2 linked regions of the Kluyveromyces lactis genome follow. The protein of the gene in region 1 interacts with the protein of each later gene in a biochemical or structural test. Links are inferred from orthologs where the notes say so. Each region holds a gene or a part of one and is shown on either strand. Other genes may lie near its edges. The genes, in order: BNR1 and BUD6.

Region 1 (17,499 bases):
CGATGTCAATTTACTTTTTTCTCTCACTCTTTATAACGAATACACATCATCATAAATATATACGGCTGCCTACATAGCAATCATCCTCCATGGCGTGGTGATTGCTACTGACGGTAAAGCTATATTTCCTACTACGAGGAAAACCAAAAACAAAAAGCTGAAACAAAAAAAAAGAGACATATATAAAACATATCGTAGCAACTGTAATACTCACGAGTTCTTGCTTTCTGCGTGCGTTTCCGCTTTACCTGCCCTGTTCTGGCTCTAGTGCATTATTTCTACAGTGCATTCTTAACGAGAAAACAAATCGATTATTCCTTTTACGACGATTTCAGTAGGCGTATACTTTTTTCATTTTTTAGTTTTCAAGGTTTTTTTTTATTTTCCAGTTTTTCAATATTTACTACCGGTGAAGATTTGGATAATCATTTCTGATTAATCATTTAAAGAGGTAAAAGTGAAGAGCAAGTGAGACAAGAGCAGAAACGTTAGTAGTTACTTGTGAGACAGAACACCGAACTATTTTTGAGGGTTGATGCACTGATTGTTATTATTTCCACTCCAATTTTTCCTTTCCCTTTATTTTATTTTTTTTTTATAATTGATTGGGAAGAAAGTTAACATTAACCCAAAATATCAAGATTACTATCGTTGCTTAATTCTTTTTATTATATTATTTTCATTATTATTCATATTTCATCACTATTTCCTTTACCAAACTTAACCAAGAACTTATAAAGAAACATACATTACACTATAGGTAATTGGGATCAAGGCTAACCTTTAAGCTATTAACCGATAGTTTTACTTTCCTTCTTAGTATTCTCTTTTTGTCTGTCTTATTTAAGTTGATGGAAGAGTCTATCTTTGATGTATCCAATTCTGGAAAGAAGAGGAAGACAAGATATTCCAGAAAAGGATGTCTGCAGTGCAAACGTTCGCATTTGAAATGTGATGAGGGTCAACCGAAATGTGGGAAATGCGTCAAGAGAAATATTTCATGCACGTACCAGTTAAGTCTTGTATTTCAAGACGTATCACAGTCGAAACTGAAAAGCATGCCTGTCATTCATTCAATTATGGATTCTAATGATGGTATGATTAAGGAGATACCATCCCAGCCGATAGGTAGTCAACCACGCAAGAAATCTTCGACTTCTTCGACTTCTTCTTCACAATCACTTACACATACACTGCAAATTCAACCACATCCACAACCGCATCCACAAGTACGTCCACAAGTCCATCAACAAGTTCATCAACAGGCACATCAACAGGCACATCAACAGGCACATCAACAGGCACATTCACAGGCACATCCGCTGGCACAACCGCAAGGACAACCGCAGGGACAACCACAAATACCTACACAACTGCCATTGCTGCTGCCGCAGCTGTCACAGCAACAACAGCCACAACATCAACAACAACAACAACAACAACAACAACAACAACAACAACAGCCACCACAACGACAGCAGGAACATTTACAATTGCTGTCTAATATACCGCAGCAGCAGCAACAACAACAACAACTTTCAACCCAGCAAGCAGATTCATTACACTGGAATGTGAAACCTGATTTTGCTCAACTGCTGGATTTGAACGACTTTAACTTACAAAATCTCATTTGTGTCTCCCCATCAGACGCCAAATTACTGAGCTTACCAAACCTTAATGCCAAACCTAATACCTCAGCCACAGAATTAAAGAACTGGGTACCTCTTTTAAAACCATACGATATAAATTGGAGAAACTTTGTCTGGATAGATATGTTACAACTTTTAGAGAAAGAGGATCCATTCCAAACTGCATACAAAAGTGTAAATCCAATTGCGATCAGCGAAATCAGAATCGATGATCCCAACCTAACTAACTTCATTTGGAGATTTGCTTGTACGACTTTGATCGCGGGTAATTTCTTGTTATTTCCTCATGATAGATTCGATACCTTCATGCGGTGTCTCTGGTCTTTGAATGAGAAACATACAATTGTCCAAGATGCTATACGATATGACATCTCAGTTTTTATGCAGGACGTGTATGAAAATGCAAAGTTGCATCATTTCTCCCAAATATGGGATCGTTATGTAAGAGCCTTAAGTTTCAAACAAGTGTTGGGAACCATCAATGAAAGAATCCAAAATTCTCAAGACTTTGTGGAGTATGTTTGCTTAACATTCACCGTGTTCCTCATGTTTTTTGCTAATAGTGCCTTGAGAAGTAATCTCTGGAGAACTCATCTTAGAGGATGTCAACAGCTTTTGATCAGAGCATCAATATTGATGCCAAAGGGTCAATTGACCGATCTAGAGCAGAATGCTGCTGATATTTACAGTGTTTTAAGGGATTGGTTCTGTCATGCGGAAACAGCCGCTTCAATCGCATCGAATTTTGGAATTTCTTTAATTGATATCACTGAATTCACAAAGACTGCTTTCCTTACTGAAAGCTCTCCGTTGTCGTTAACAGGCAATTCTTTCAATCTCTTGAAAGGTATGTCCAATAACCTCAACTCTGTGTATTTCCACCTCTTGTTGCGAATGTTCGAATTTAAAGACAAAGGCGTCGATATTTCCGGATTAAACATTTTCCTTTTCAAAGTCAACGGAACGACAAAATCAGTTTTACCTCAATTATCTATGTTCGGTAGAGAATTGCTGGATGAATTACAGCGTTCAGCAGTTTTAGATTCGAATCTAGAATTGAATCTCATCGACGTGACTGACCTAAGGTTGAAATTTTCAATGCTTGCATCGCATAGCATGTTTTACTTTCTAATGGAAGTCTATCTCAAGGTGTACTTTCTTGATGTTGATCCAAAATCTCCTGAGATCAAAAGTATTCTATACACAATGGTGAAAACTTCTTATAGCAACCCTTATTACTCATCTTGTGGGGTGTGCTGCCATCCATCGTTGTTCGTAGGAGCACTCACATGTATTATAGCTGAAGATGATGTGCTTTATGTCCATTTCATCGACCTTTTGAGTAAAATCACCGACAGCGGAATGGCAGTTGCTAAAAATAGTGTAGACAAGCTAAACGCCATCAAAGCTAATGTTGCAATTGGTGCTTATCAGAATATCATCAATCCTGATCATGACTTTATCCCCATCTAAGTTAATATTCCCTTTCAATGTCCAAAAAAATAACGAAGTCAATCACTTTAAATGAATCCTCTAAACTGGAACAAATATCATGCCAAAGTTGTACTATTTCAATTATAATATAGAAGAATATAGATTTTCAATCAGTTACTTATTTATCTTGATGTGTGAGAATATATATATATATCTCCCATCCAAAATTCATTCAATTAAGAAACAGCTTTTTTAGCGCACAGATTCAAGTTTTTTACGGAATTTTTCTGTTATTGTTTTGAGTTTAAGGTTCAGTTTAGGGAAAAAATGCTCTTCAAGTCGTTATTAATTCGGAATTAAAATACAAAAATGGCGTATCCTGCATATTTAAACAAAACATAGAACGGTCGATGCAGCGCTCAAAAATGTAACAAAGGAGAAAACAGCAGAGAGTATGTCGTGCCACAAATTTTTTACGGAATGCTAACTAGAGATTAAATGGTGATAGTATTCCTAGATTTACTTATGTTGACCGTCAAAAACCTCAATTAACTAAAGGAAAGCTCGTTTTTTGCTTTAAATAGGAAATGTTTTCCACGGAAGTCTAAAAAAGTTGTAGTATTCTTTAATAAATTTCAAAAAGATGAGGAAGATCATGATCTTCGAGATTTTGTTTGTTGCCTTCTCGATACCATCAAAGAACAGTATTAGAGGTGAACACCTGAAAGCTCAGAAGCCACGTAATAGTCAAAACATCATAATTCAGAAACTAAGGAGGTTGAATATCAAGTTTGATAGATTGAATTCACTTTCAAATCTCCAGAAATTGACCGCCAATGACTATATGTTTCTTTATTCGATGCCTTCAGGAATGAGTCGGTATTCATTGAGGCAGTGTCGCAACTCTGGTCACGTTTTTTCTACAACAATCAGGTACCAATTTTGTGAAAAAAAACTGAAACTTTATGCATTTAGGCAGTAGACATGGTAAGTTAATGAAATATGAGATGAGATCAGTTTATAGAGAATGAGGGAGCTATGAAAAAGAACTTAAGCTATATAACCATTGGTATCTCAACCGTTTCAGCGTACTCTGCTCGGTAGATATTATTTTGAGAGATTCTAAATATCAGGCCAAGCAATCGGGTTACCATCATGTCTGCGAAAGCTGCAGGAAAAGTTGAGAATGGCGTAATTAAACATACGAAAGAGAGTGAAGCTGACAAGAGAAAAAATGCTGGACATAGTTATAGGAGGAAGAGAGGGAGACGGTCAAAGGCAGAAAAATCAGTACCTGCAGAGAAGGCAACCAGTCTTGAAATTACCGCCAAATCATCCCATAATGAAAATGCAGAGAAAAAATTCAAATTGAGAAATGCCTTGAAGTTGCAAAGAAAAGCCGAAATTGACCAATTGTGCCATTTGGCTGGGTCAGATATTGTAATGTTAAGGAAAGGACAATATGTCACGACCTACTCGCTAACGTTTATTACCACTGATCAAGATCAGAATCAAAAGAAAGTGAAATGTGTTTTCAACATTCCGGTCGATTATCCTCAATCCGCCATAAAGCTAAGTAAACCGAAAGACTGTTCTTCAGATGACCCGTTATCACGAATTGTAAACAATTTCAATTATAAATCAAAAGCTTTACTCAAAGATAAACAGCCGCTAGTTATACAATTAAACTATTTGGTTACCAACTGGAATTCTTTGCAGTCTCCGGAGTATATAAATAGGGACACGGTACAGAAGAATCTGATGTCAAAACTCTCTGATTGAAAAAAAAACACAGTAGCGAATAATATGAGTTACTCATCATATTCATCGAAATGGTCATTACAGAAGAGGGAAACTACATTATACACACGTTAATATTCACTCACTCCTTGACGAAGACTGCAGCAGCTCCCATACCAGTACCGATACACATGCTAACAACACCAATTTGACCAGCGTCTAATTCCCTTAATATGGTAGCGACTTGTCTGGCACCAGTGCAGCCCAAAGGATGACCTAAGGCAATCGCGCCTCCCCTTGGGTTCAATTTCTTCTTGTCGATTTTTAGATGGTTGACACAGAAAATGGCCTGCCCTGCAAAGGCCTCATTAATCTCGTAAACATCAACATCGTTGACATTTAAACCACAGTCTTTGAGGACTCTTGGAATCGCATATGCTGGGCCAACACCCATGATCTCAGGTGGAACACCTACTGCCTGGAACGCAACGTACTTACCAACGATTTCCAAACCCAATTTCATGGCCATGGATCTTCTCATTAGCAACACACCAGCAACACCATCTGATATCTGAGAAGCGTTACCGGCAGTTGTCACACCTGTTTCCTTCACAAATGCAGGTTTAATCTTTTGTAACGATTCGAAAGTGACGCCCTTTCTAGGACCTTCGTCCTGCGCAATTATAGATCCGTCTGGTAGTTCAATAGGGATGATTTCATCTTTAAACAATCCCTGTGAGACAGCCCTTTCCGCTTTATAGAATGACTCCAGGGCAAATTTGTCCTGGTCTTCTCTTGAAATTTGGAACTTCTTAGCAACGTTTTCATTAGTAAATCCCATTGGTATCATACACTTAGCAGCAGCCGTGTTCGATTTCAACTCATTTGATATAGACCCAAGAGCCTTCGGACCATAGTTCTTAGACATAGATTCCACCCCGATAGCCAACCCTACATTGATCTGCCCAGAAATGATCTTATTTGCAACGTCGTTAACGGCAGTTAACCCTGAGGAACACTGTCTGTTAATAGCCACTAACGGAGTTTGATATGGCAAACCAGCAGCTAACATCGCAGCTCTATGTTCTGTCGCACCTGCACCGGGATTCAACACATTACCACACGCAATTTCTTCAATGACACTCTTATCAATGTCAACTTTCTCAAAAAATTCCTTCAGAAACTGTGTAAGTAAATAATCCGTGTTAACATCTTTGAATCCTCCTTTGAACCCTTTACCAATAGCTGAACGATACGCAGCTACAACAACCACATCGTCCGGATTCTTACTCTTTATATCCTTTTCAGAACTGCGTCCTGTCAAATGTTTCTCTAATTGTTGAAGTCTGCTAGCCATATTATATTTCTGATTGACTGTACTCGCCTGTAGTATACTTATATCTTGCCCTATGATGTTCACTTGTCAATCAATTCATCTGATAAAAGTCAGTGATAAAGGAATAATGTCAGCATGACACATTTATGTACGTAATTTATACAAAAAATTATTTGTCAAAGGGATCACTCGCTAAAATAAATATGGGGAATAACGAACAATGAGCAGAACCAACCAGCCGTCGTTTTGGAGTATGTTAAAGAGGATTTAATGATCGCATACATCCCTTCTTCACGGCCATTAAGCTCGCAGTTAATCATCAACACTGAAAAGCAGAAACTTTACGGAGCTCCACGATGTCATTAACAATGATCCTGACTTAATCTAACTACAGTCTCAAATTTGCCTTTGCTCAAGGCTATGTCGTAGAATTGGAGATCGGCATTGTCACACTAATTCCGGTTTTCGTTATGAAATACCCTAAAAATGAAAGACCAACGTCGCATGCGGGGTAACCCCCAAGTTGAAAAAACTTACCCCGGGTAGCAAAGAAGATCCAACTCACGTGACTAGTATCTATAGATTGTTTCACGTGTCGCGTACTGTTTCCTTCTGGTCTCTTCTTCCTTTCCAAAGTGCGTTTCTGAGCTTTTGATCCTGTTTTTGTTTACGTTTTTTAATTTTTGATCCATCTATTAAGGAACGTAACAAAATGAAGCACTAAAAGCGTATGAAATTTAGTACACATGTTTTGTAACACAAAGGAAATCCATAAATACGTACACTTGAAGAGAGTCTAAAACTGTTCTACAATCAGCTTTGCTAATCATTAGAATTAATCGTTTTCTTTGACAAATTGTTTTTTGTACAAGCGTTTATCTAGTGAAATTATTTCGCTATCTCCCAGATCATTATTGAATGATCGCGTTTTCCTTGTATTGATGAGTATCAAATCACTTTTCTGGCTATAATTCTGCAACTGAAAATCAACAAACTTTGACCGACCAATGACTGTTGATAAGAATGAAAAATCCATTAGTATTTTGTTTCCGCTTCGATCTGGATCCATTAATGCTCCGACTGCAAATGCCAAGACCAGGTTTTCTAGCAATGATTCCAACGATGATCTGGTAATACAAGGGCTGAATCTAGTAGGAACAGGGCTCAAACCTCGCTCCCAGACCCTGCGATACATGAAATCACACAACTTTTCAACTCCGAACGTTGATTCTACGCGACATGTTTCTAAAACGGATAAAATGTGTTTAGCAGACACTCAGCTACCGTCAGAACAAGAAATTGATGCCAAGTTTGAAGAGTTATTGAATGGACATGCGTTTCTAGGTACTGCTAAGCAAAATTTGAAAAGCTTGTCGTATACCCGTAAATGGGAATTGATTCAGAAGGAAAAGAAACTACATGGTGATATAACGATGCAAGACGATTCAAAATTGAATACTTTACATATGATTTTGAGCAATTTGAATAAGAGATTCTCGGTTACTCAAACACTTTATCAATTGGAACGTTTACTTCGACATGCTGATTTTATTTCGCTGTTTGTGAATGCAAACGGAGTTTCGATTTTGAATGGGTTCATTGATTTATTGGATAAAAAATCCCAGTACGTGTACTTATGCTGTTATAAAGCATTGCTTAACGATACTTCAGCAAGATCTGTGATATTCCAGAATAATGATTGGATAACTTACGTCTTCTGCCTTTTAGGAACGCTCACAACTGACCTTAGAGTTCGTCTTTTATCTACCCAAATTGTGATCCTTCTGACATATTCCACTGAATGGTCAGATTCTTTGTTGGAATCGTTAGATTTGTGCTACGAAAGTTGGATCCAGGCAGTAGAAATGACTCTTCGAAACCCGGAGGATTATGCGTTTAACAACTCTTTAATTCTTCCAAAACCAAAAGAATTGCTCGTAGATTACTCTATATCTACATTGTTACTGGTTCAATCCATTCAACAACTTCTGCCTTCCAATGATCTAAAACTGGCGTGTTTCAAAAGATGGAAGAGAGCTGGAATACACCGGGTTTTCCGGCTAATGAAGGATTTAGACTCATCAGCTTTGAATCAGGACATAGACCTGTATATCGAACTTGAATTGAAGGTGCAAGACAAACAGTTCAAAAATGAGTTTCTGAGTGAAATATCTTATGGTCCTCAAATCAAGAGTTTAATCGAATATACTAAAGATACGCCGTTAGAAACGCCTATTTGCAATATTATAGAAACGATCTTGGAGCTAGTAAATGAAAGAACAACGGAAGGTTCAATAAAACTGTTCTATGTTTTCAATTCTATTCTAACCTATCTATGCGAACATACCTTGGATGGTAGCTTTGATGAAACCAACACGGAACAAGTTTTCATGACCTCACTAGATCATATAATGGATAACTTACAATCCCATCAAATTGCCAAAAGAGCAATGATGGAACTGGATGAAAAGAAGAAAGAATTTGATGGAATACAACTTCAATTGGATACATTGCTACAAGACAAACAGGTTTCCAAAGGGGATCTACTGCAGAAATTAGAAAATAAAGAAGAACTTTTGAAATCAAGGGAAATAAGAATAGAAGAATTGCAAGACAGATTGGAAGTTGTAGAAAATCAGCTAAAGAAAGAAAAGAAACAGTTGGATCTCACTATCGCCCATAGAGATGTAGCAGAATATACACCAAAACGTTCTGTGTCACTGTTTGAGACTTTAAAAGAACATAAACCGCTTATTGGTACTCAACGATCAACTTCCTTATCAAAAAGTAAACGTATAGCATCGCTATCCACTGTTGCAAATGAAAAACCTCAGTCAAAATATCCGCACTCTACCCCTTATAACATCTTGAATAACAATTCTGACGATGACCTTCCAGTGACTCCGATATATCCACGCAAGAACGACATATTCCATCAGGTATCAGCACTCCCAAAACTATCTTCCAGTAATGATGTAGTATCAGCAACGACCACAGAAGTTCCATCAGCCCAAACAGCATTTGTGATTCCTGCTTCTATTGCAGCACCAGCGGCTCCGCCGCCTCCACCACCACCTTTACCGCCTCAACTGAAAAGTATAGAAGCCTTCACCTCACCAATGACCAATGGACCGGCCCTAGTAACTAGTTCTGCTTCCTGTGCTTCGTCAAATGTCGCGCCTCCACCTCCGCCTCCACCTCCGCCTCCACCATTACCATCAACTCTGTCATCCCTGAACAAGGAATCCACAGTAGAAGATACATCTTTATCAGTTGCATTCCCAAACGAAACCCTCCCAGGAAAACCAACAGACGGCATTCCTCCTCCTCCACCGCCTCCTCCTCCTCCTCCACCATTACCTCTAGCTAACAATGTGACATTCGTGTCTAAGCCTAAACCAGAGGTAAAACCGTTGAAGCAGATTCATTGGGACAAGATAGAGGATATTAGTGACACACTTTGGAATGAACCAACAACTAGGAGTGACTTAAAGGAGGACTTAAATGAAAAGGGTGTCTTTAATGAGATTGTGAACTTGTTTGAACAGAAGGCAGTTCGAATGAAGAAGAAATCCAACGTTACAGCTAGTAAGAAGAACGAAAAAGTTTCTCTTTTGTCAAGGGATCTGGCTCAACAATTTGGAATCAACCTACATATGTTTTCTTCATATTCTGTTGAAGACCTTTTGATAAAAGTACTAAGGTGTGACGATGATATAATCAAGAATCATAGCGTTCTTGAGTTCTTTAACAAGGATGACTTCGAAACTATCCCCCAAAGTATAATTAGATCTTTCGAACCCTATGCGTCAGATTGGAAAACCGGTAAGGCTCCGAAGGAAGACGTCAGTAAATTGGAAAGAGCTGATAGAATATACCTCGAAATGTTTTACAACATGAGATATTACTGGAAAATCAGAAGCTCCTCTCTCTTGATCGCTCTGACATATGAAAAGGACTATTATGACATCTTGTACCAATTACAGAAGATCGATGATGGGACCTCAATGATCAAAAACTCGAATAGACTCAAACAATTTTTCTACATTGTCGTAGAGATCGGAAACTTTATGAACAACAAGAAAACGCAGGGTATCAAACTTTCCTCATTGAACAAACTCTCCATGGTAAAGACAAACAGTGATAAGAATTTATCCTTTTTGCATGTGATAGAAAGAATCATCAGAGAAAAATATCCCGACATATACGATTTTACAAGAGATTTGAATAGGTTATCTGACCTGGGGAAGATTAACATTGAATCGATAGAAAGTGAGATACACGAATATTACGAAAAAATAATGAGAATGAAGGAGTCATTCGAACGTGGAAAACTCTCGCATACTGAGAAACACCATCCAGATGACAAATTTAGAAAGAAAATCAGCGCCAAGCTTCCCAGTGCCGTCAGAAAAGCAGAACTGTTACATAATCAATGTAAACTGACTATGAATGATTTCAACAGCACTATGAAGTACTGCGGTGAGGATCCAACAAATTCCGAAGCCAAAAACACGTTCTTCAGAAACTTCTCTGAATTCCTAACGCTTTTCAATAAAATATCACAAGAGAACAAGGAACGAGAAGCAATGAATCGCGTACATGAACAAAGACAACAGTTATTACAGAAGGCTTCGACAGAAACCCAAGTTGAAAAATCTGCCGATGACGAAGCTGCAGATACGATAGATATACTGATCAAAAAACTGCGTAGCGTTGACCCTCAACAGACAATCCCTGGTTCATCCGTTCCCGGAACATCATCTCATCCAGAAAAACGTTCTACGCCAAGAACCAACAGAGATCAAAATCTATTATCACGAGCCATGACACTTAAGAGCGGCATTCAAAACCTGTGAACAACCTCTCTCCTCTAGCCCTCAGTCACATACAAACTTTTCCCGATCCAGGAAACCCAAGTACAATACATATGAACAGTTTAAACGTATATATATATATATATATATATAGACCAACGCCGGAACAATATTACTCGAAAAGTTTCACATAACTTTTCCCCACGAAACGGAAAAATAAAGCCCTTTAACGTCGGAAGCCCAAAATTTCGTGAATTGTCCAACCTTTCAGCATAGCCAAACTGACAGTACTCCGATATTCATGCAAATCTCATCTACAAACCGGTCTCTGCTTCTCTCTTCGTAACCATACACAGTCTAGATCTAAAAACCTAGATCTAAAAACCTAGATATATTACATCAGCATTTGATACCTAAACCCACAAAAATAACAATCCTGCCGCAACTATATCGCCAAGCCACAAGCCGAGAAAAGATGTAATCCTAATATAACAGGGTAACGCAAGATATTTGTACTGTATCCTTACTTAACGCTACACACTCCTTGTAAACCATCCCATCTCAGTTCTCAGGTCTTACCTATCTCTATGTCCACCGGCTAATAGCAAGATCTGCATGTTCTGATCGGCTTCTATATTTCCGTTTTCTCAACGTTTACGACTCGAGCAAATACAGCTTCTGCTAGTCAGAAACATCAACACAACTTCCCGTCTGGAAGCATTCTTTTTTTTTCGAAAAAATCTAGGTTTAAGAGAGATTTATATATTTATATATTTATGTATAAGTGCAGATACAGTTACAACGGATCTGGAGATCTATAAGTATTTAGCAGCTAAGTGGTTTGGCAGAACAGAGTATCCACCTAGCATAAAATTAAGAAGGTTAGAAGTAGTTCCCGGTTATACACTGGATCTGTTTGTGCTTTGGTTTTTTTTTGGTCTGATTGTTTGTTACTTGGTGATATAAGGCAAAGCGTGGTTTGAGACCTGTCTTGCGATATTTGTGAACTGATCTTCGAACAGTGTTATAAGTATTCCTTTCTACGTCGCGAGTTTTGCTAGTTTTGACGAATTCGTAAGTACTGTGTATCATGAGTGATAATACTGTTGGCGTGGCCGTTGGTTGTGCTGTAGGAATACCCATCGGAGTGGGGATTATAGTTGCGTTTGGGTTTTGGTATCGAATGCAGAGGAGATTCAAGGAAGAAGAGCTGGAACACGACGGGCATTCAAATTTTGATGAAGAGATGAGTTTCAACGATATGGGTGTGATGAAGATGCAGCAGGCTGGTGAGCATGTTCAGGAGAATGAGCACGAAGTTCATGGGAATCACGTTTCGTCCGATGAAACGGCATCGTCCAGTGAGGAGAAGAGGGAAAGGGAAGTGGATCATACTAGTACTCAGCTAAAGAATAACTCGTCTACCGGGTCCATCAGTAGGGGTAAATCGGGGAAAAGGAATATATATACGCCTGCATATCGTAAACGGTTGCAGGAAACGGTTTCCTCAATACAGAAACCCATGGATTTTGATTCGAGCAATAACACGAAAAGTACTTCTACTTCGATCACGTCTGCAGATACTCCAAAGAGACAGAGTAGTCAGATCAACATGTTCGATAAGATGATACCGATGCTGCCCGATGCTGCAGTTGGTGGAAATGGATCAGGATCCATTTTTGACGAGGGATCTGTGCCCAGGAGAAATTCATCGAATGAAACTCTACTAAAAACGATCGGAACACTCGATTTGGGTGCATATCCAAGGCGAGGTTCGTCAGTACAAATTTCCGGTATGAATAATAATAATGCCATCAACAATCATAATATTAATAACGCTGATAACTCTATCATTTCGTCGAGACATTCGTTAACATCGCTGCATACACACATGTCTTCTCCAAGTACGAATTCAAAACCTATAATAGAGAATGTATTCGACACGCCGAAAGGTTCTAAAGTGTTGACCTTACCAGCGGAAAACGATTCATCTGAACAATATAGGCTACAGAATAATTACGATATCAGAGATGATCATCACATTGCTGAAGAAGATCAGTACGAAAATGAGTTCACGAACTACTCGGAGAATAAAAGGGAATTTATCGATTCTTTGAGACCAAAAAGACAAACATAAGGCAACCGTAAAATGGTACTATCTGTCACTCCATGGAGGAAATCCATTCATCTCCTGGCTGAGAGAAATTCACATACTCGAAAAAAAAAAATCTCATTAACCATTGTTTGCCAACCGGTAGACTCATACCATATTGGAGCTGCTATTACTATCATCATTGTTATTATTATTATTACTATTTTAATCTGTGTATTTAATATTTACAAGATATAACGAAAGGAAAAGTACACAGTTAGCTTACAAGGGAGAATAAGGGCTAATGCATTATGATAAAATGATACATAAATAATGAATTCTCAGTTGAAAAATACACTTTTATAAAGTTTTAGCACCACCGCTTTCCTCTAATAGATCGTATTTCTTGTCATCAACCTTGACACTCCATTCGTGGATGAAAAATTCTTGGTGTTGGTTCTCTCTGTCTGCAACTAATCGAACTTCACCGACCTTACCCTTGGAACCCTTCAAGTAAAACTTGATATTGACATTACCAGCAACTTGATTAAGCTCCCCAGAGACCCATGGAACGAGCCCATCGAAATCTATCTGATCACCAAGAACTTCTCTAATCTTAGGCGAACGACGCATATGGTATAGGGTATTGGAAATAACCGGAGACTGTGTCTTCTCATAGTTAAAAATCATAGCCAATGCTGAGGTCATTAGAACAATGAACCCAACAAACTGGAGTCTTCTCTTGTTGACATCTTTAGTTGGGTCTGGTAGCTCTCTATCGATTCTCATTGGTCTAAACTTGTCTTTTAATATAATCTCTGGTTCTTGAGAGGCCAAAAACCTCCTTGTAAGTATTCTGCTCACAGAAATTCCGGATCTTGGTGCAAGGATGCGTCTAAACATTGTTAATATGGAGTTTCTAGCCTGTGCTGGTGTTGGCGGATTGTGTAGCAATGTCCCTTCCCTGTTTCCTAATCATCGTATGTTGTACTGGCCAGCTTCTTCGACTAAATTTTTCAAATACTCGGATCTTCTTATAATATCATTTCATAGTAGAAATCAAACAATGAATCGAGAAAAAGGTATGAAACTTGAGTCAAATCAGCAAACAGGAAATCATCTGTGGCCAAAAGAATATACAAAGACGAGGTGTCTTCAAATAAACCACGTTTATTCCCTAAAATGACCTTTGTATGTTATGCTATGAAGCCTAGTTTGGGTTGTCAATCGTATTGCTACGATTATATGTCTAAAAGATACTAACATCTATGCTATGAAATGCGCTCATTCCTTCCGAAGAGGAAGAAGGAAAGAGTGTGAATTGGATGAGCAAGACTAATTTAAGATCGGTAAAACTGTACATTTGGCTATTGATGCTGTTTTAATTTCTACCTGCTTGGCAGGTATTAAGAGAAATACTGGATTGACCCCTAAGATTGATCACATTAGCGATATTACCGTTAGGGAATATTCCACGAAATATTTGAACTTGGGAGAGTCAGTATATGATTATACAGTGGCAACTCTAGGATCTTCATCATATTTCCAGAGGAAATGAGATACAAAAGACGAAGTTCCCCTTTAATAACTTAATTTGTTTTTTTTGTGTGATCTTTTCGCTATAACGGGTTAGCTATGAATGAAACAGATGTGATTGTAAGTCCTTAACATATATTTATAGTTAGTATATTCATTATATATTTAAGTGGTTTTGAAAATTAAAGTTCGGTGTAATGATACATTGCTGGTTTCAGCTTGGATTGATGGCGAATTCAGCTACAACTTCTTCGGTTGATTGCTTGTCGTCCATTTGCTTCTGCTCGCAAAATTTAAAGATGGCATCGTAGCCAGTTGGTGTATCAGCAGCATTTTCTGTATTTTGAAAGAGATCATTTATGTGTGAAATACTAGGAGACTTCCGTTCTGAGCTTTTTCCATCACTGCCAATGTTACCTCCCAGTGAGCGTAGATTCTCCCAGAAATCATTACCATCTTCTTCCATAATTGATATTGAGGACACGGTGCTTGGGGTTACTTTATTCTTGGGTCCATTGCGATCAAAATCTTCAGCTGGTGTATTTCCTGTCGATCCTGCAGCACTAGAGTTTCTGGATTCATTTTTACCTCTTCTCTTTGTTTGTTTCCTCTTATGTCCATGAAGTCCATTCGGACTTGGATTTAACAATCGGCTTAATTCAACTGTCTTGGCGTTTTCACTGGATCCAAGCTGTGGCTTGACCGTGGGTGGTAAATAATTGAAATGTGAGTGCCTACTTGGCCCTATTTCTCTGATTTCTGGAGCTGTAGGCGATGGATAAGATGCAGTGGAACTTGTAGGATTTGGTGGCAACTGGCTTAAGCCGTTTTGTGCATAATTAGCCCCGTTCATTAAATGCTGTTGTTTTATGTTCTGCTCTTGAGCTTCATCTAGCGAATCATGATGATGATGGTGATGATGATGATAAAATCGTTGTAGTTTATCGTTGAGAGCCGATGGACTTTGAGTTTCATCGTCCAATCCCCAATTGTTGAAGTTTGGAGTTTTGGATAGAAAATCAGTTTCGAAGTCAGAGAAGGACGGGCTTCTAATTTTTGGAAGATCTTGTGAATTTGAAGTAGTATTACCAATGTGTTTATTTTGTTGTTGCTGTGGTAACATTAACGGAGGTGGAGATATTTGTCTGGGAGCCAGATAATGGTTGTGAATATGCTGGTGAATTGATATTTTCAAATCATTGGCCTTGGCATGATTTATTAACTGTTTTACCAAGTCAGCGTTTGATATAACACCGTTGGATAAGGTATGACCTGAAGATTCCTTCAGACTAAATTTCCAGTCAACTGTTGTTTCTGGTTGTTGTTTCCTAGTTTCGACATTGGGTATTGGAAGAAATGTGCTAGGTGATGGTAATGCAGATTCTTTTTTGTTGATGCTGCCAACAAAAATAGAAGGATGTGGAGAGTTGTAATGCGGTGAAGGCGATATTATGCTATTTAAAACAGCTGGATCTGGGGTGGCTGTCGATCTTTCGTTAGATTGGTGTGGTTGTTGTCCATCATTCGCATTGATTTTTCCAGTTTTCAAGACATCCAACAATGCCGCACTAGAATTAGTTCTGTTAGTCATGTCAAATATCATAGGTGTCGATTCTTCTCTCTTTACAGTACCACTCGGGCTCTTCATTGAAGGTTGTGGCGTATTTGAAGTTGACATAGGACGTGAAACATCTTCGTCATCATCAGTCTTGTTTTCCTTTTCGTTTTCTTCACCTAATCTGGTCATCTCGTTACCTGCATCCATGTTTCCAGCTTGTACAGCGCTTTTTATGGTTTCAGATGCAACGCCTCTAACAACCATAGTGATAATTTTCCTCCAACGATTTCTACAGGTTAAACTTGGCCTAGCATCCATTTCCGTCGATATTTGCCTCCATTTCGTACCATATTTCTTGACCTTCGCTATAAGTAGAAGATCTTCCGTCTCATCCCAAGGTCGTAGTCGGTCTTTAGTACTGGGATCAAGCACTTCGATGTACCTCTTCGCGCATTGGTCTTCAGTTCTATTCTCTAAAACGTAGGAAATCTTAAACCATTGCGGACCATGGTGTTCATATGATTTTAAGAGAAGCTCATCCTCCTCTGGTGTCCATTTACCTTTCTTCAATACAGGATCTAAAGAACTAGTCCATCTCTTTTTCACATCCGTCGCTTTCTTATTATCCAATTCGAATTGCTTGGCAAGCTGATCCCAGGGAATTTTTTTGACAACATTACTAGATTGCTGAATTGTTTTAATAGATTTGATACCATCCGGATATCCCAAATTTACTAACGATTCGTTAACCAATTTTCTAAGCAGATCATCTTCTTCTTTGGTCCATATTTTCCTCATCTTTCTTCTAAACGTTTGATACCCTAAAGATTCTGAAACCTCAAGAGCATTGACTGGTTCCTTCTTAACTCTCTTCCTCAAATTGCTCATATGCTCCTCTGACATATCACCCGAATCGTCACTCACACTGCTAGCTACAGTTCCTTTCTCACTCGACGATTCATTCATATTCCAGTCAAAATAGATACTTGATCCAAGATACTGATTTCTTGATAGAAAAGTCAAAAAATTAGACTGAAATCAAGTTTATTAATTAACACCAATTTTACTACTTCTCAACCAATGTTTTTGAGATTGTTCAAAACTTTATAGCAAGTGTATCTCGATATTTCCGTTATGACTGTTAGTACAATCAATAGATGACGATAACGATAAACTTCTTTTTGTTTCTGTTAATGATATTTTGGGTTGAAAACCAAGTTGTAATTTAATACAGCTCTGAAACTGTCTACACAGCCTTGTATCTGCTGTGATATAGGCGCTGTATTCACCGTTTTCACTTCGCTTGATAGATACCCTGAGAGATACTCTACATAGTT
Region 2 (17,088 bases), on another chromosome or scaffold:
AAGCGATGTTAAATCTGTACTACTAATTGGTGGATCTGGATTTCTAGGTCTCCATTTGATTCAGCAATTTTCTGAACTTAAACCACAACCTCAGATCCATGTTTTTGACGTAAGACCACTTCCAGATCGGATCTCAAAACAATTCACTTTTGATCCTTCGACAATTACCTTCCATCAAGGTGATCTAACGTCACCTGCTGATGTTAGAAAGGCAATTGAGACAAGTGGTGCCACGATCGTCGTTCACTCGGCATCTCCAATGCATGGTAATAGTCAAGAGATTTACGAAAAGGTCAACGTTAAGGGAACAAAAAATCTATTAACTGTCGCAAAACAATGTCGAGTTAAAGCAGTAGTATATACCTCATCTGCTGGTGTTATTTTCAATGGTCAGGACATTCACAATGCTGATGAAACTTGGCCAATTCCAGAAGTTCCAATGGATGGTTATAACGAAACAAAGGCAATTGCGGAAGAAATGGTGCTATCAGCAAACGATCCAGAAAATGACTTCCTAACAATAGCATTACGTCCTGCCGGTATTTTTGGTCCTGGTGATAGACAATTGGTCCCAGGTTTGAGGCAAGTCGCTAAGTTGGGGCAATCAAAGTTTCAAATTGGTGACAATAACAACCTGTTCGACTGGACCTACGCTGGAAACGTTGCAGATGCTCACGTACTAGCCGCACAAAAGCTTCTGAATCCAACTACTGCTGCGCTAGTATCTGGAGAAACATTTTTCATCACCAATGACACACCAACATATTTTTGGGCTTTGGCACGCACGGTTTGGAAGGCAGACGGTCATATTGATAAGAGAGTTATTGTTCTAAATAGACCCATGGCTATTGCTGCGGGGTACCTATCTCAATTCTTCTCTAAATTGTTGGGCAAAGAGCCAGGTTTGACTCCCTTCAGAGTTAAAATCGTTTGTGCCTACCGTTATCACAACATTTCAAAAGCTAAAGAACTTTTAGGATACCAACCAAGGGTTGATATCGAAGAAGGTATCAGAAGAACGTTGGCATGGATGGATGAAGGCTTATAAAGGCCAACTCTATATGAATTGTATATATCTATGTCTATCTATAACTTTACTCATCGTCACAAGTTAAACATTTGAAAGCACCCTCGTGTTGGCCCATGTTTTCTAAACAGGAGCTGTGGAAACTGTGCCCACAACTAAATACAACGAGTGCACTGCTACCACTAGCGGCGACCTCGTGGCATCTCGCTGACTCCCACTGTTCAAAGACTTTATTATCGATTCCAATTCCCCATATTTTCTTGCCACATACTTCACACTCATGAGACTGAATTGCCCAACCATGTTCTTTTCTGTGCATATAGGTTGTAATATCTGATGATGCACTTTGATTGATAATCTGTAAAATAAGAAGTTTCACTGTCTCTTCGACAGAATAAGCTGTGAAAATATTCTTCAACACCACTTTAATATCTTTGATTTTACTCAAGATAAGAGATTTGTTTTCAAATATCTCCATTAGGGTCTTCCAGAAAAAGCTCTCCTCCGAGTTTTCGATATCATTCAGGTTCCCATCTGAAAGCTCAATAAATACTTTCTGCAAACTTTTATCACAAAACGCTTTTTGATCATCGGTAAGAGTTGGGTATTGAGAGACCAAGTTTGATATCAATTTAACCCAGTTCTTGTTAGTTTCATCTGTCTTCTGGGATACACTGATGCCTAAATCCAAATAATTATCAATTTCGTCAAAATCATTATTTTGTAATAACTCGTTGATTTTCGAGTTTATTTTATCTATTGCCGACCCATAGTTCTTTAGCCGTACTAGCAATCGTATCAAAGTTCTCGAATCCCTATTTCCGTTAATAATATCTACAATACTCTCAACTTCGATGTTTTTAAGGTCAATATTGTCAACCCATTGTGATACACCGGACGCATCTCCGGTTTCATACAACAATGATAGATACTTCGGCCTTGCTTTCTTCAAAAATGGGGCAGATAGATGATAGTTCCCAGACAGAAGTATACGAAGATATCCTAAGAGCGTCAACGGATCAGAAATAAGAAGAATTTTTTCATGTAAGCTACTATCAAAAGAGTCTATGATTGAGACAAGGGAACGCTGATCTTGACAATTTTCGATAATCTTCGGAAATGTATCTGATAGAAGGTCGCAAATTTCACTTCGACCGATAGGCGATTTCGCTGTAGCACCATCACATAGTTTCAAACCTGCAATAATATCATTGCCATTCGTATTCCTGTGTTGATCGCTAAGAATAAAGGTAAGATAATCTGTATATCTTCCGGCCTTTTTATATAGCAGAAGCCGAACACGATAAAAATCCACTCCTGACATTTTATCAATTAGGGCGTTAATATTATCTGGTGAATAAACAGACAATAGTGCTTCAAGACAATCTTCAGAAATTTGTTCAAATCCTTCCAAATCAGCAGATAATATGACGTCTATTTGTGAGTCAATGATAGTGTTGGTTAGGCGAATAAACTGAGAATACTTTGGCAAATTGTTGAACACAAAGAGGGCAATAAGAAGTTTCACATGATTTTCTTTGAAATTCTTCTGTATGTCCAAAAGAACATCAATTATATGTTGTCTAGTAAAATGAAATCCATTTTGAGGGGATTCATTGAACAGAACATCTTCAAATGAGACATCAAGAACGTGCAAGAAATTTTGCGCACTTGATGATATTAAAAGGGAAGCATATGGAAAGGCTGGTTCTTCTGCTGGTAGGGGACACGTTAAAAGCTTTTTTCCAGAGCCTTGTGGCCATTCCAAAGAAGAGCCACTAAAAAGTAAGCTGTAATAAAAGTTCTTTAGGTATAGAATCTTTTTGGAAGGCACTCTTTTTTCTGTTGGATAAACTTTTCCCAATAAAGTTGATTCGATGTACTCGAAAAGGGTATTATCTTCAATGTTAGCATCAAAAACTACACAACATTCTTCTTTGCCAGCAAAGTAAAATATTATATCCACTAGGGGACTTTTATAATCATCCAAAATGGTTGTCCAGAGATATAAAAGTGCAGAGTAGAGACGAAACTCTTTGCAAACCTTGAAAGCATAATCCAAATCCAAAGTTGTACCGTCTAGCGATAATAAAATTGTCTCTAACCTTCTATCATTTCCTGAAGACACTGTGTATTCCATCACAGCCTTGAAAAGTATTGGTGAGAGGTATGTTACTGTCCCGTTAACGATTTTTTCGTAAAGTATTTCTTGAAATTCTTCGTTATGTTTGGTCATCAAAGCTTCCCCTACCTGTTCTAAAAGCACATACATCTTTTCATCTGAGAAAATACTTCCCAAGTCCAAAATCAATGATGTAGCTTCAGTGACCTTACTGTAACTTATATCATCTTTCTTCAGTAAAAATTGAACAGTTGCTAGTGTCAAGTTGTTAAACGATGGTTCAATTTGTCTGATTCTTTTCTGATAGTCTTTTTCCAGATGTAATAAGGCGGTTATCGAATCGAATGATGGACCTTGTAAATAGTAACCTAGGGTTCCTAATGCATTAATGTAATCTCCTTTATGTATATGGTGTAAGACAATATCGGACCATGAGTTAATTTTCCCCACCATTAAACTGTAATTGGTGAGCACAACAATCGTGTTATTTAACGTAGCGAAATGGTTCTCAGATTCTGGAACCATCAGTTCATGAATAAGTAAGTCAATACTAGTGAGTACAGGATCCTCATCGGTATCAACACTACCTATGTTTAAAACGAGAAGCTTACTTGACAAGAGCAAAATAGTCAAAATGTTATTTGTGAGCCAGGCAACTTTACAAATGCATTCAGGAGCTTCGTACGTCCATTGTAAAGTCGGAAACCTGATATCGACAAGGCTCAACTGGTTATCTACAGAGAAGGCAACCTGATTTGGATTGACGTCATTCCAGGAGATATATCCAAAAGTGGCCGAGTTTTTGTGTGACAATTCAATGAGCCGATAAGTTGATAAAGTTGGCGATGACAATGATATGACTGCGAAGGATCGATTAGATAAAACTGCTAACAGATGTTCAGCATCATAATCTTCACCGTTGCTTCGAATGCGCGTAGTCAATAAAGGGTTTATCATTGGATTCAGCCTCAAGATTTCTTTTGCACTAGGTACCAATTGCCAAAGATGATTTCTAGTACCCTTGTGAAGTACAATATGTCCTGTAGAATCACTGACTGCAATATTGGTATGTTTCCCCGGGATAAAATTAAGACCATTAAAGGAATGTCCTCTATGAGAAGCAATATGCAGCACGGCTTCTAGATGATTAGAATCGGAATTTTCATCGACTTGAGAGTTTAAGTCCCACAGGAATATATCACCGGATTCATAGGCTGCGCAAACATGGGTACCATCCTGATTTATATCGATAAATGTTACCTTGGATCTAAAATCTGGTAAAGATGGTGCTAGTACAGATTGAACGAATTGTTTCTTGTTAAAGATAACAACGGCTCCCTTTGCCGTACCTATGATATAGTAGAGCTGAACCGGAAGAATGAAAGTAGGTCCCCCATAATATGATAAATTCGGATACACTTGTTGCAATGAAGTCCAGCTTACATGCAGGGATTCATCCTGAGAGCTCTTAAAGGGATTAAACTTTTCGAAATCGGTTGTGTTGTTTCTCTTATCGTGGCCAGTACTATGAGAGCCATTCATTTGAAACTTGAATCTTGCTGGCAATTGACAAACAGGTAATCGAAAACTGTTTTAACCGAACTTAGACCGTAGGGCTTCTGTTGCCTTTCCTGTTTTTTTTTCTCATATTTTACCTTAAATGCAGCATGATGTTTAATTAATTATCTATATGCATTTATATTATGCACATTTCTATTCTTAAGATGCTCAGAGGCTGTAAACCTAAAAGAAAGATGAACATAACAGGATAAAAGAGACAGCAAGGGTTCGGGTCCAGCAAGAAAGCACGAAGGGGGTCGTTGAGAAATATAGTATATTTATTTATTCATTTATGTAAGGGGAAAAAGGTGAAGAACTTAAATTAGTTTAATTACAACTTTTGCATAGCAGCAACATCAGTAGATTGGACGTGGTCTTCATCTTCTTCGATAAGTTGTTGCAATTCATCAAGAGAAACCTTAGCATCTTCGATGACCATGTTAATTTGCAACTTCTTGATACCGAAACCAATTGGAATCCATTGGTGAGCACCCCAGTTCAAACCATCCATTTCGATGTTCTTAACGTTGGCAACCAATTCTTCCAAATCGGTTTCGTCATCCCATGGCTTAACATCCAAGGTAACGATAGACTTAGCAGCAGCCTTTGGCTTAGCAGCCTTCTTTTCGTTGTATTCAGCGATTCTCTTAGCCTTCAATTGTTCAGCTTCTTCATCGACATCATCGTCAGAACCGAACAAATCGACTTCGTCATCGTCATCTTCTTCTTCAGCAGCAGCTGGTGTAGAAGTAGCAGCTGGCAAGGATTCGAATTGATCAGCCTTGGAAGCAATGTGGTTGAACCATCTAGAGAATTCTGGGTAAGTAGATTGGAAAGCCTTGAAAGCAGAGACGTCAGCTTGAGTAGCAGAGGTACTATATTGATGCAATTGTTAGTTAGTAAAATGGAAAGAACAAAAAAATGAAATTTTTTTGTATGGCAGCTAAGCTTGCTTGCTGAAAAGAGAATTCAATAAAAAAGATAAATCAGAATCGTACTGTCTAGGTACTGTCTCTTTGTCACTCATACCGGGGGTCTTACTTCCCGTCATAAACACGGACCAAAGAATTTGTTCATCATTGAAATAGTAAACTTTGAAGAATTCTCTTATTCAAAAAACTGCTTGATGCCATTGGAAAACCACCACTATAATTATTTCACATACCCTTCAATGTAAGACTTGTCAGCCAAGAAAGTGTTCAACTTTTGCAAGGTTTCGACCTTGGAGAAATCAGAGAAAGACATCGTTAATGGATAGTTAAACCTGGTGAGAGAAGAAACTAGGAAAGAATCAATTCCTCTTCTTCTTCTTACAAGGAACGTTGAATCAAATTGACGAAAAAAAAATACTGAAAAGCTGATGAAAAACTCTAATTCGAAAAGTTCCAATATATATATATATATATTTATGAGATATATGATATGTAAGACGTATGTACTATGGAATTATGGCATCTACGTGTATTCAAAGTGCATGCAATGTGCGGTGGAAGAAAATTTTTTTTCTTCCTTGTAAGTGCGATGAGATAGATACTGGAAAGGCAACAGCAGAAAACAGGGCACGCTGCGGCGTGCCCTGCGACAATTTGAGAAAAACCAAGTTTATTTTCAAAAATCATGGGTCCACCCCTTTGAAAAACGATTTTGCCATAGTAAATGGTTCCAAAACGGTACGGATTTTTCTGAGAAAGTGTTCTTTTTTTCATTTTTTTCAAACTGGATTCCTTTTCTTTTGACAAGTGAAATGTTTACTCAGGGTAACACTTAGATTGTTCAATCAACTCATCACTGTATACGAATATGAAAAAGTATCCATCAATTCAAGAATAGAAGTGCAAGTTCGTGTTTTAGGGCTGGTTGAATAAAGACTATGATAGTGTTACTACAAACAAACGGTTTACTCATTGAAGCGTGCTGATATACAGCAGACAAAGCAACTACGACCTGCCTCCCAAAATTGTATTGATATGTCGCTCGTACCGCAAGCCTACTTGAGTAACTTCCATAATAGAGTGAAGAACGAGGATGTTCCGTTGTTTACTGCTGCGCAGTTATCGAGAAACAAGAGGGGTAAACAGGTGAACTACGCTGAGTTCGATACGGATCTCTTGGATGAATTCATCGACAAGAACGATGAGGATGATTTGGAGGATGATGTGGACGATTCGGATGGTCGTCGTAGGGGTGGGGACTACTATGATCAAGTAGACGGTAGTGATGGAGGTGCTGCGGCTGCTGCCGCCACCGCCGCCGCAGCGGCGGGACTCGGTGAAGATGGTGGCATTGGTGAGGGCACGCCCGGGTCTGGTGACCCCGGTGCTGTCACTGGCGGAACGCCGGCTGCAGATACTGGGCCAGACGGTACAAACGATGGTACTGCAGGAACGTCAAATCCTAGCTCAGAATTGGATCGCATCAAACTAAACGACTTGCCCGACCTTGAAAGTCAGGATGATTCTGCCACTCCGCTAGCTTTGTTGAAATATCCTAGGATTAGGGAAACTTTCGTGCAAAGTAGGATCGCTATCAGTTATAAAGACCTTCTTGGAGATTCTATCCAGGATCCGCAGCAAGTGGATATAGAAAGCCCGATAATGGTTCCAATACGGTTAAACGTTGAATTCAGTGGACACAAGTTAGCAGATTTTTTCATGTGGAATTTGAACGACCATTCGATGACTCCAGAACAGTTTGCTACGATCTTGTGCCAGGATCTTGATTTCCCAGTGCTTTCCAACCCAAATAATTCCCCATATACACAGATTATCTCTATGATTAACGAACAATTACAAGAATATGAAACATTGGCATCTTTACAGGTTCCTGATTTACACGTGATAATAAATTTGACTGCAAATCTCGATTCCAAGCTTTATGATGACACTTTTGAATGGAACCTTAATGACGATTCATTATGCCCAGAACAATTCGCAGAATTGGTGGTACAGGACCTGGGCTTGCAAAGAGAGTTCGTTCCTGCCATTGCACATTCGTTGCATGAATCCTTGCTAAAGGTAAAGAAGGATTGGCTCGAAGGTAATTTGAATTTGGCCCATGTAGAAAATAAGGCAGCTTTCGGTTACACATCAGGTATCCGTCTAGATATAGATACACTTGGCGCCTCATGGTTCCCTAAGGTAGAAGTCCTCTCACAATGGGAAATCGAAAAGCGTGAAATTGAAAAGGAGAGAAACATGAGAAGATTAAAGAGAGAAAGTGCCAAGGTCGATGACGGAAGATCCAGAAGAAGAGGCAAGAGGAGAATGGATGACTTGGAAACTACTTTGAGAATATAAGTGTGTTCTCTTTTCCGGCCAAGCAGTTTAACTTCACAGACGCCCATTAGACAAAGCTGTATAGAAAATAAAGTTCTCCATCTATTCGTGGAGATTTATGTATCATTAATGTATTAATACCACCGTCATCTGTGGTTTTGCACAAATACTCTTCCTTTTCGTCAGACTATTATTTATTTAGTCGCCAAAAATCTCCACAACAAATAGAAAAAGATCAAAGATCATCGCGAATCAGTAATGCGTACGCTGGGAATAATAAAAAGTACATACCCGAAATCCTTATTACTTCAATTACTATGCTCCACGAAGTATTATACAAGCATTTAGACGGCATTTTAGTCTCACGTTTGTATACTGAGGATCAGTTTGTTGATCTATTTTCTAGAACGATACCGGAATCCAACACTGTGATCGCGTCACAGTTATACAAAAGTTATGAAGAGAATGATCAACGGATCATTGAAAAAATAGATAAACTCATCGACAACAAGCTGTCTTTGATAAGAGTTGAGCTCGAACGGGAACAAATTGAAGACTCCATTTCTCTCGAGGAAGTAAATAAACTATTGCATAGCATTGATGATATGTTGCAGCAGCATTTAAATCAATTAAACATTGAACTAGATAATAAAAATACAAAACTTTTGAAATATGCAATGGAACTCAGTGACATTGAAGCAATAGATACTTCCATGTACGATAATGTTGCAAAATTAATAACGGACATGGAAACCAACCAACCTTCTAGTTGAAAAGCTCAAGAACACACGGTAGAATCTATTCCAGGCACTTCCAATTCTTCACCAACCCATTGGAAGACTTCATACTTGGAGTTCAAATCTTTGTTTGAATGCATGCAGTATCCATCACCTGAATCAGGTTTCAGTGCACCGCTGACCGACATAGGATTGATGAATATGCATCTTTTCACTCTGGAATGAATTAGTGCCATGCTGCACATTGAGCACGGCTCATGACTGGTGTATACGTCAAAATCTAAGCAGAGATAAGTTTCCCCTTGATGTATATCTTTTTCTGACGCGGTACCGTTTTGGACACGGTCTCTTCTCTCCTGCTCTTCTTTAGCTACCTCATTTATTCCGACCATAACACTGTGATCGAGGGGAGATCCACTATGTCTATAATCCTTTGATATTATAATTTTACCAGATTTTGGATTAACGAATGCCGATACTATTGGAAGTTGCATGCTATCCGAATCTCGGATTGCTCGAGACTCTTCTGCTATCTTGGTTAACAATGACCGAATCTCTGTCATGTCAAATATATAGTCGTTTAATATCTGGTCATTAGGATTTCCTCTCCAAATTAACGGCCAATACTGTTCACTCCACTTCAACATTAAGCTTTTAGTCGATGGACCGACCTTCGGTACTTTGTTATCGTCTTTCACATTGTCATACTGGAAAACGACTCCTTTCAGCATATTGTCAAAAGTTGATCTATCCGGTATGTACTCTTTGGAGCCGATAAGTACTCGTAGTGTGTCGCTATCAAGCTTCTTGATCCGTTTCACATGAAGGAATGAAACGGGGTCATTATCCTGAATACCTCGTACGAATGGTATCACTGACTTACTTTCCCTTGGACGTACTTCGATAGACCAAGCCTCAACTAGATCAGGCACATCAACGTTTTTGGTATCTCGAATTTGCCAGAGGCAATCTTCGACGATGCATTTTATAAAATCGATCTTAGTGGGGTTCAGATGTTTCTTAACCATACTGTTAGCTTTTCATGTGAATAACTAGTAAATCTAGAGCTATAATTAAGCATCCATTTCCTTTACCCTTTACATATTAGTATATCATCTCATCGCATCGCATCTTACATTTCTATCATTGAAAAATTCATATCCAGAAATTATAGGCTACGAAACACTATTTACCAGTTTAGATCATGCTCGTAAGAAAGATGAACACTGAGAATAATTAATAAGAACCTTAAATTGATCATCGAGATGACTAAGGTGACTTCGAATAATGACCTATATCAATTGGTTTAGATGAAAATTCTTGTCGAATATTTGGAATCTTTAGAGTGCTATGAAACCCTCAGAAAATCGGATATTCTGATCAATGCTGACTCTAATGGGGTATCCAATCTGTTACTCAGCTGTTTCGCACAAGTTAACAGCAAACATTGCGTACCTCCTGAAATTGAAATATCTTCTACTTTCAGCTCATCGTATCACTGTGAAACTATAGAAACATGCATTCTCTACCTTTTGCACAAGAATTTTACGAATAATATACTGACTTATGGTTACCAGCTGGGAAAGAATTCAGATGTCATGACCAAACTGTTTTGCCGTTCATCGAACATAAGCGTAAGTGTATTGAAATGTAATAGCTGGAGATTGTTCCATCAGCTGGTTGGCACTGACAATTTTGTGAATTTGTTAATCAACTATTCCGTATATTTCAACACCGGCCATTACTTCAGGCAGATAATTGGAACCCCCGCTAACGCGCCTCAGGTGCCACCTGCATGGCTAGATCGGTCGTATAGGAGGGAAAGAAATACTAAGCTAACGATAGATTGGAACTCTGCTCTATATCATAAGATAAGACCGCAAGATTACAAGAATATCATTGAGACTGATCAGGGGCTGTTAATAGCTGAGATTTTTCCGAAAATATCAGAGAGCAGTAAGACACCTCGTTCTCTAAACTTTGCATTGAATAATCTAAAACCCATTTTATATGAGCTCATTCGAGCTCACGAGAGGTTTTCATATAGACACATCATCAATAATATATGCCCCAAATCAGATACTTTCTATTCATCACCCAAAAGTGTCATCAAACTGCTCATTGTATGTGTTAGAAAAACGTTCCCATTGGACCTGTTAGGATCAAATTCAAACTATAGCGTTCTATCAAAAGCGATTGCAATACTTGTCAAAAAACCGCTCCATTCAAAGATACTATTTGATGAATTATGTAAAGGATTGCGTGTGAAAGATGTCAAATGGCTAGAAACAAGGCGGCTTCCAGCTGGTGAACAAACTCAAAAGATTCCATATTATGATGTGAAAAATCGACAAGCGCTTCTTTATAAACTGTTTTTTTGGATCCTTTCCTGTTACGTCCCAAAATTACTATCTACATTTTTCTATGTGACAGAACTATCGTCGACTGTCGATATAGTTTATATTCGTCATGATACTTGGAAAACCATGTCACAACCTTTTTTGAAATCTTACTTTAGGAGGTATTTGCTTGAGAATAAATATTGTTTCCAGCACAGATCTTTCACAGAATCCAAGTTCAATCACAGAAATCTTCGTTTAATACCAAAAAAATCAGGCCTCGATTTCAGAATAATAGCGGTGCCGTGTAAAGGAGTCAATATACAAGAGTTTAACGAGTTTAATGATTACGTTACGAACGCTCTGAAGCCCACCAAGATTATACTGGAAAGATTGAGGATGAGACGAAATACCAAGTTTACAAAAGCATTCTCTCCTTTGGAAATACCCAAGATTGTATTAAGTTATAAGCAAAGGCTACTTTTAAAACATGGTAAAATACCGAATCTCTATCTTTTAAAGTTTGACATTCAATCCTGCTATGATTCAATTCCGGTTCAGAAAGTAATGAAATTGGTAGAGGCTCGGATATGTGAAGAGCAGCAGTTTTTTATTAGATCTCAAGATATACTGACAACTGCTTCCACTCGTCTGAAAAGGCTTCATGCTGTAAATGGAGACATACAATTCCAGGAAAATGATTTAGTAATTGATTCAGTCAAAACTACTGTCTTATCAAAAGAAGACGTTTTAACAGTAGTTAAAATGGAACTCTTCAAAACCAGTATCTTTTACAGAGGCAAGTGTTACTTAAGAAAAGATGGACTCTTTCAAGGAACTCCCTTATCTTCCGTTCTTGTTGATATATTGTATGACGACCTACTTGAATTCTACACCGAGTTTACTGATGAAAATGATTCAGATCCGATGATAATACGGCTGGTGGATGATTTTCTAATAGTTTCAACTTCCAAGAAATACATCGAGCGGCTTAATAATCTGGCTCAAACAGGATTCAAATCTTTCAATACTTATATAAACCCACAAAAAGTCTTGGTTACTTCATCAGAATCTGAAACATCAACAAATGTACCTTTTTGTGCACTGCAGTTAAATCTAAGAACCCTAGAAGTTTGGAAAGACCGCTCATCGTATAATGTCCTAGGAACAGTTTTGGGATCATCTAAGCAACTGTATAATAAATTACTCTGGATCTTTGAGATGAGACTATCTTATAATATGCTGGACGAGCGCTTAAATTCTTGGGAAACGGCTGCAAGGTTCCTGAGAGAAGTTGCGTTAAATGTAATTCAATCGTTCATTGTCCTTTTTAATAGGAAGAAAAGCAGCAGAAGATCTTTCAAACAATTTGTTTTCAACATTTTTCAGCGAATTGATCTTAACCTCTCTTCAGCTAATATGTTCTCGATGGAAAAGTCCGTCGCGTCAAAAGAACTGGTGTTGTCAGTTTTCCTTGAACAATTAAAATTAAGGAAGAACGCATTTGCAGACATTTTGACAAATGTCAGCGATTTGAAACTATTAATAGAGTTTTAATGCTATTACTTAAAATTATTGTACCTATATCAGACCAAAATTAACACGCAGATTTTCTTCGTCTTTTTGTTTTCTTAGGCGTTCTATCTCCTCAATGCCACCGGCCTTTTTGAAGTTACCTTTCTCAACGAAATTGCCCAACTCATCTTCAAAGGCTTCATTTTCCTTGTACTCTTTCTCTCTGTTTCTTAGTTTTTCTGCCTTTTTAATGGCTTCCACTCTACTGTCATGATCTGGGTTGAGATTCTGAACTTCAGTCAAGACTTGATCGCGGATCATATTATATGTGCCTGGCTTGGCTATCGGAAGAATGGGGTTTCCCTTATTCTTCTTTGGGGCCTTTTCCTGTTGTTCGCAGCACAATTTAACCAAATCAAATGTCTCCATAACCTTATTCAAGTCTTCTTGTAAATCAAATACGAGATCTTCTTGCAATGTCATGAACTGTTGCTCTTCACACACCCTATCTAATTCCGCTTCCCAAATAGTTTTCCAATTTGGCTTTTCGACATCTATATAATTTCTCATTTGATCCAAATCCTTCTTAGCGGAGTCTAATTCAGACGATACATTTTCAATCTTCTTCTTGGGTGTTCTCGCACCTCTAATGGCCACATCTTTACGTAATGCCTCAATGACATCTTGAAGATCGTCAACTTTACTCAAAAGATTATCAGAAACTTCGGATAACTTCGACTGGGACTTTTCCATATAATCGCGATTAGCTGACTTTCCTGTAGTTATTGAAAGGCTCTGGAATTTCTGTAGTTTTTCCACGATAGCGTTTATAGTATTTTGAAGCGATCTCTTTTGGTCGCTATGTATCTGTTTTAAAACGGTAATTTCGTGCCTAATATGAGCAACTTCTTTACGATGATCCTCATGTATAACTGTTGCAGAATCTGAGGATTTTGGACCACTTGAATAATCTGGTGACGATACGTGAGTACTATTTTGGATAATCTCTTTCAAATTTTGAAAAATTGTATCTTGCTTTTCTAATAAACCATCTTGAAGTTGGCGGAACTGTTCATCTAGAGACGATGATTGTACCTGTAATTGGAATACGCTCCCATCTATTATACCATGTAGGTGACTCTCTTCAAGTTCGTAAAATGCCTCGTATTTGGGTTCCTTCACATATATGTCAGGGAATACATCACCTCCTGGGGAATATGCAAATTTCTCAACAAATAAAAGTCTAAGCTTGTTGAAAGAGAGGTGAGAACTAGTTACACATCGTTTCACCTTCTCACCGATCTTCAAAAAGACAACAATTTCATCTATGCTTGAGTTATCACCTTTTGGTTCTGGTGCTCCTGTCATGGGATGATAATCTACGGATGAAGCAGAAGAGATTCGAGAAGGCTGTCTTTCCATTTTAATGCTTTCTGTATCAGAAACATTGGCCGCTGCTGCCGCTGCAGCAGCGGCTGGAACTGCTAAATTTTTAGACGTTGGGGAATTCGATGGATCTGAAGCTGTTTGGTTGGCTAATTTCGCCATATGATACGCTGAAAACCTCTTCGAGGCTCTTCTTTGCAGATTATTTCCCTTTTTCAATTGAGTTAACGCATCGCTTTCAGAACCCTTGGGAACTTCTAACGTAGGTATCTGTTTTGTTTCAATATGAGCTGAAGTAGATGTCGGTCCCGCGCCAGCCAAAGATGTCGTTGCGCTGACTACGGATGAAACGGAAGATCTTTGAGGAGTATGCTGATATTTCAAAGCATCTTCATTCCTGCTCAGTTTTATCATCGCCTGTTTAACCTTAAGTTTCTCCAAGAGTTTAACTATAATATCTCTGATCTGCGGTAGGTATTTATTCAACGTTTCCTCAGATGCAGTCTCTCTCAATGCCACCTCCAATATTCTTCGAAGGTCTTTTGGCACATCGCCAAGATCCGAAATATCAATTCTAGCATGGGTAAAATGTCTACTGACTAACTTGAAATCATTACCCAATTGAACATACACATCGGAAACATTACGCTCGGTAACTTTGCCCTTGGACCATTGCGTCAGAATTTGTAATAGTTGTTTAGTTGAAATCAATAGTTTCGTCACACTAGTTTCCACAGATGATGCTGATTTAGAAATTGGTGGTGGTGTTTCCATCTTTATCAGACACACCTTACGTACCTCACCCTACTGCTTCCACACACCTAACTACTAGCTAGGAAATCCAACGTACACTTTTTAAACGGTATGTTTCTTCAAAGCATTACTAGATCAAAAAGCTTTAGGTTTGATTTGGTTTGCATAAATCTTTTGTTGATAAATATCAAGAAACGTAATTTCCTGAAGTTAGGCCGAGATAATGAAACAGGAAAGTATGGAAACTTACCATTTCAGAAGCTAAGCAACCAACAGAGACGTGTTACCGCGTATGACATATAGCGTGGTTTCTGTGGGATGAATCAGGACTCTGTAGTCCCCAATTCGGAGGCTAGTGATGAAGAGATCGTAATACCTCTGCATTCGGAACCAAATGTATTTCCAATCTTCGATGACGAATACCAGGTACGCGTCATTCCGGGCAGTCTCGATAACGTAGCACAGACACCTCCTGATATTGGAGTTTACTCTAATAGTATAAGACGTGCATTGAGAAAGCGTAAAGCAATCCAGAAGATGCCGTATAGTTTGGATAGAATACGGCATCGGCAGTTATTGCAAGGGTACGATGTATCTAATTTCGAATCTCTAGCAGATCATATCAATCTGCCGAGTGGTTCCCGGCAAGATATTACTGTTAATACGGACAATGGGGGCGTGCTCAATTCGAGTCCTGTGAAGGGCGGCCTTTCACAGCAAGAACACTCGACTATTGCGTCAACAAGGCTTCGAAGGCATCACCATTTCCATATTTCAGATGATGATGATGATGATGAGGTATATGGTAATGCTGAACTAGACAGCGATGAAATTCGTGACGAGTGTCATTCGGAAAGTGACTCGAATCAGTTTGATAGATCCAGTTTATCCTATGATGATAACGTTGTTTTTAGAGGAAGGCAAGTCAATATCAGAACAGGATACAAAGGTGTATTACCCAAAATGGCGTGGAAGAAAGCACTTGATAACAATACAGTTGAAAGTAATAGACAAGGAAGAAATAAAAATAACCACTACGATGAAAATTCACGGAGTAAAGGTTTAGCCAAGAGAAAAATATCTCGTAGAACGTTTAATTCCAGAGACGACAACCTTGTAAACGAATTAATAGAATCGGATGCTGAAATTGAAGTTGGATTCCCGGAAACATATCTACGGCTACAGAATGAGCAAGATTCAATGGAAGACTCAAAACTAGAGGAATATTTTCTACAGAAATATGAGCCAGAACCAGATTCAGATTCAGATTCAAATCCACCATCTTCAGCTGATGATATTACTGAAATTACAAGCCAGGGGATCGAACTACTTACTCTAGATGATGATGAAAAGACTGCGTTGGAAACAATAATCTTTGAACCTTCGAGCATTGAACCTTCATCTGCAATAGCTAAAGATTCTACTAGTGAAATAGATTTCATGCTAACAAAGACTCAGAAGAATCGTAGAAGTCTGGATAGTAAACCCACAATCCTGAAAGATAAATCAAAACGTACAGGTATCCAGCGTCATGGTAAGAAACGAGCTAGAAATATAACAGGATCACGCGGGCGAGAAAGAATATCCATGATGAATAAAGTTAGTCCTTTCAGAAAAGTTAATTCCAATAAAGCTACAAGGGAAAATTCCTCAAAAAACAGCTACCGGGAGCCATTTAGCATGTTGGGATATCCAAAGGTAGGGAAGACTGGTGATAAACCTGATGTTAAGGAAACTAGACAAGAAAATTCCAAGGCGGTTAACAGAGACAAAAATACCAAGAAAATTAAGAATGGAATGAAGCTTTTCACCATCGCTCCAACTCCTAACGCAGAGCTAAATCGGAAAGCAATGACTTTTTCAACAGTCGTTGAAGAGCTAAGTGACAAGTTTGCTGTCCGTCCAATAGCACACATTGGAAGATACAAGTCTACTTTACCTTCCAACCCTAACCTTGAAGTGAAGAAACCCACTACGATATTAAATCATTCGCTATTAGAAGCGCTTAACAAATCATTGACGTTTGACTCTCCCAATGTTATCAAGTTAACATTAAATGGAGATAATTTTATTGTTTCAAAGTTCAATCAGAATGCTGAAGAAACTCTTCGGGAAATGTTAGATAGCGTTGTAAAGTTTGGTGGGCCTGACTATGAGGTGAACAGTCTTGCTAAGAGTTTGGCCGAATTTTTGTTTTCTTGGACGTCAACAGAAGTGTACGATATAATCGAAAGGTTTCATCACGAATTCAGAGCCAAAGTTAATAGTTTAAGAGAACGGGCGAAGCCCATTCATTTTTTCTTTATCGCAGTATGTCAGCTTCTTTTCCTTGAAATTAGTAGATATTTCTCTACTTCTATATCAGTCAGAAATC

Evidence for each region.
Region 2: the proteins of BNR1 (region 1) and BUD6 form a complex in vitro, tested with the Saccharomyces cerevisiae proteins (3 studies listed by BioGRID). The link is inferred for Kluyveromyces lactis from reciprocal best matches to the Saccharomyces cerevisiae genes BNR1 and BUD6.

The regions. Positions count from the first base shown.
Region 1 is NC_006042.1:996,661-1,014,159, forward strand, and holds BNR1 (formin BNR1), read left to right. Parts: upstream 1-7,166; coding exon 7,167-11,018; downstream 11,019-17,499. Other genes in the region: KLLA0_F10835g (Zn(II)2Cys6 transcription factor domain-containing protein), read left to right, coding at 852-3,122; SMU2 (Smu2p), read left to right, coding at 4,239-4,865; POT1 (acetyl-CoA C-acyltransferase), read right to left, coding at 4,966-6,180; AIM20 (Aim20p), read left to right, coding at 12,067-13,113; COA1 (Coa1p), read right to left, coding at 13,429-13,971; ATG44 (mitofissin), read left to right, coding at 14,251-14,259, 14,414-14,626; KLLA0_F10978g (uncharacterized protein), read right to left, coding at 14,819-17,128. UniProt on the Saccharomyces cerevisiae protein: May organize microtubules by mediating spindle positioning and movement in the budding process. Potential target of the RHO family members.
Region 2 is NC_006039.1:1,620,394-1,637,481, reverse strand, and holds BUD6 (formin-mediated actin nucleation enhancer), read right to left. Parts: upstream 14,736-17,088; coding exon 12,642-14,735; downstream 1-12,641. Other genes in the region: ERG26 (sterol-4-alpha-carboxylate 3-dehydrogenase (decarboxylating)), read left to right, coding at 1-1,048; CORVET complex membrane-binding subunit VPS8, read right to left, coding at 1,095-4,691; EFB1 (translation elongation factor 1 subunit beta), read right to left, coding at 5,041-5,584, 5,875-5,954; SFH1 (Sfh1p), read left to right, coding at 6,677-8,005; NKP2 (Nkp2p), read left to right, coding at 8,302-8,757; TAD3 (Tad3p), read right to left, coding at 8,763-9,749; EST2 (telomerase reverse transcriptase), read left to right, coding at 10,032-12,617; MMS22 (Mms22p), read left to right, coding at 15,033-17,088.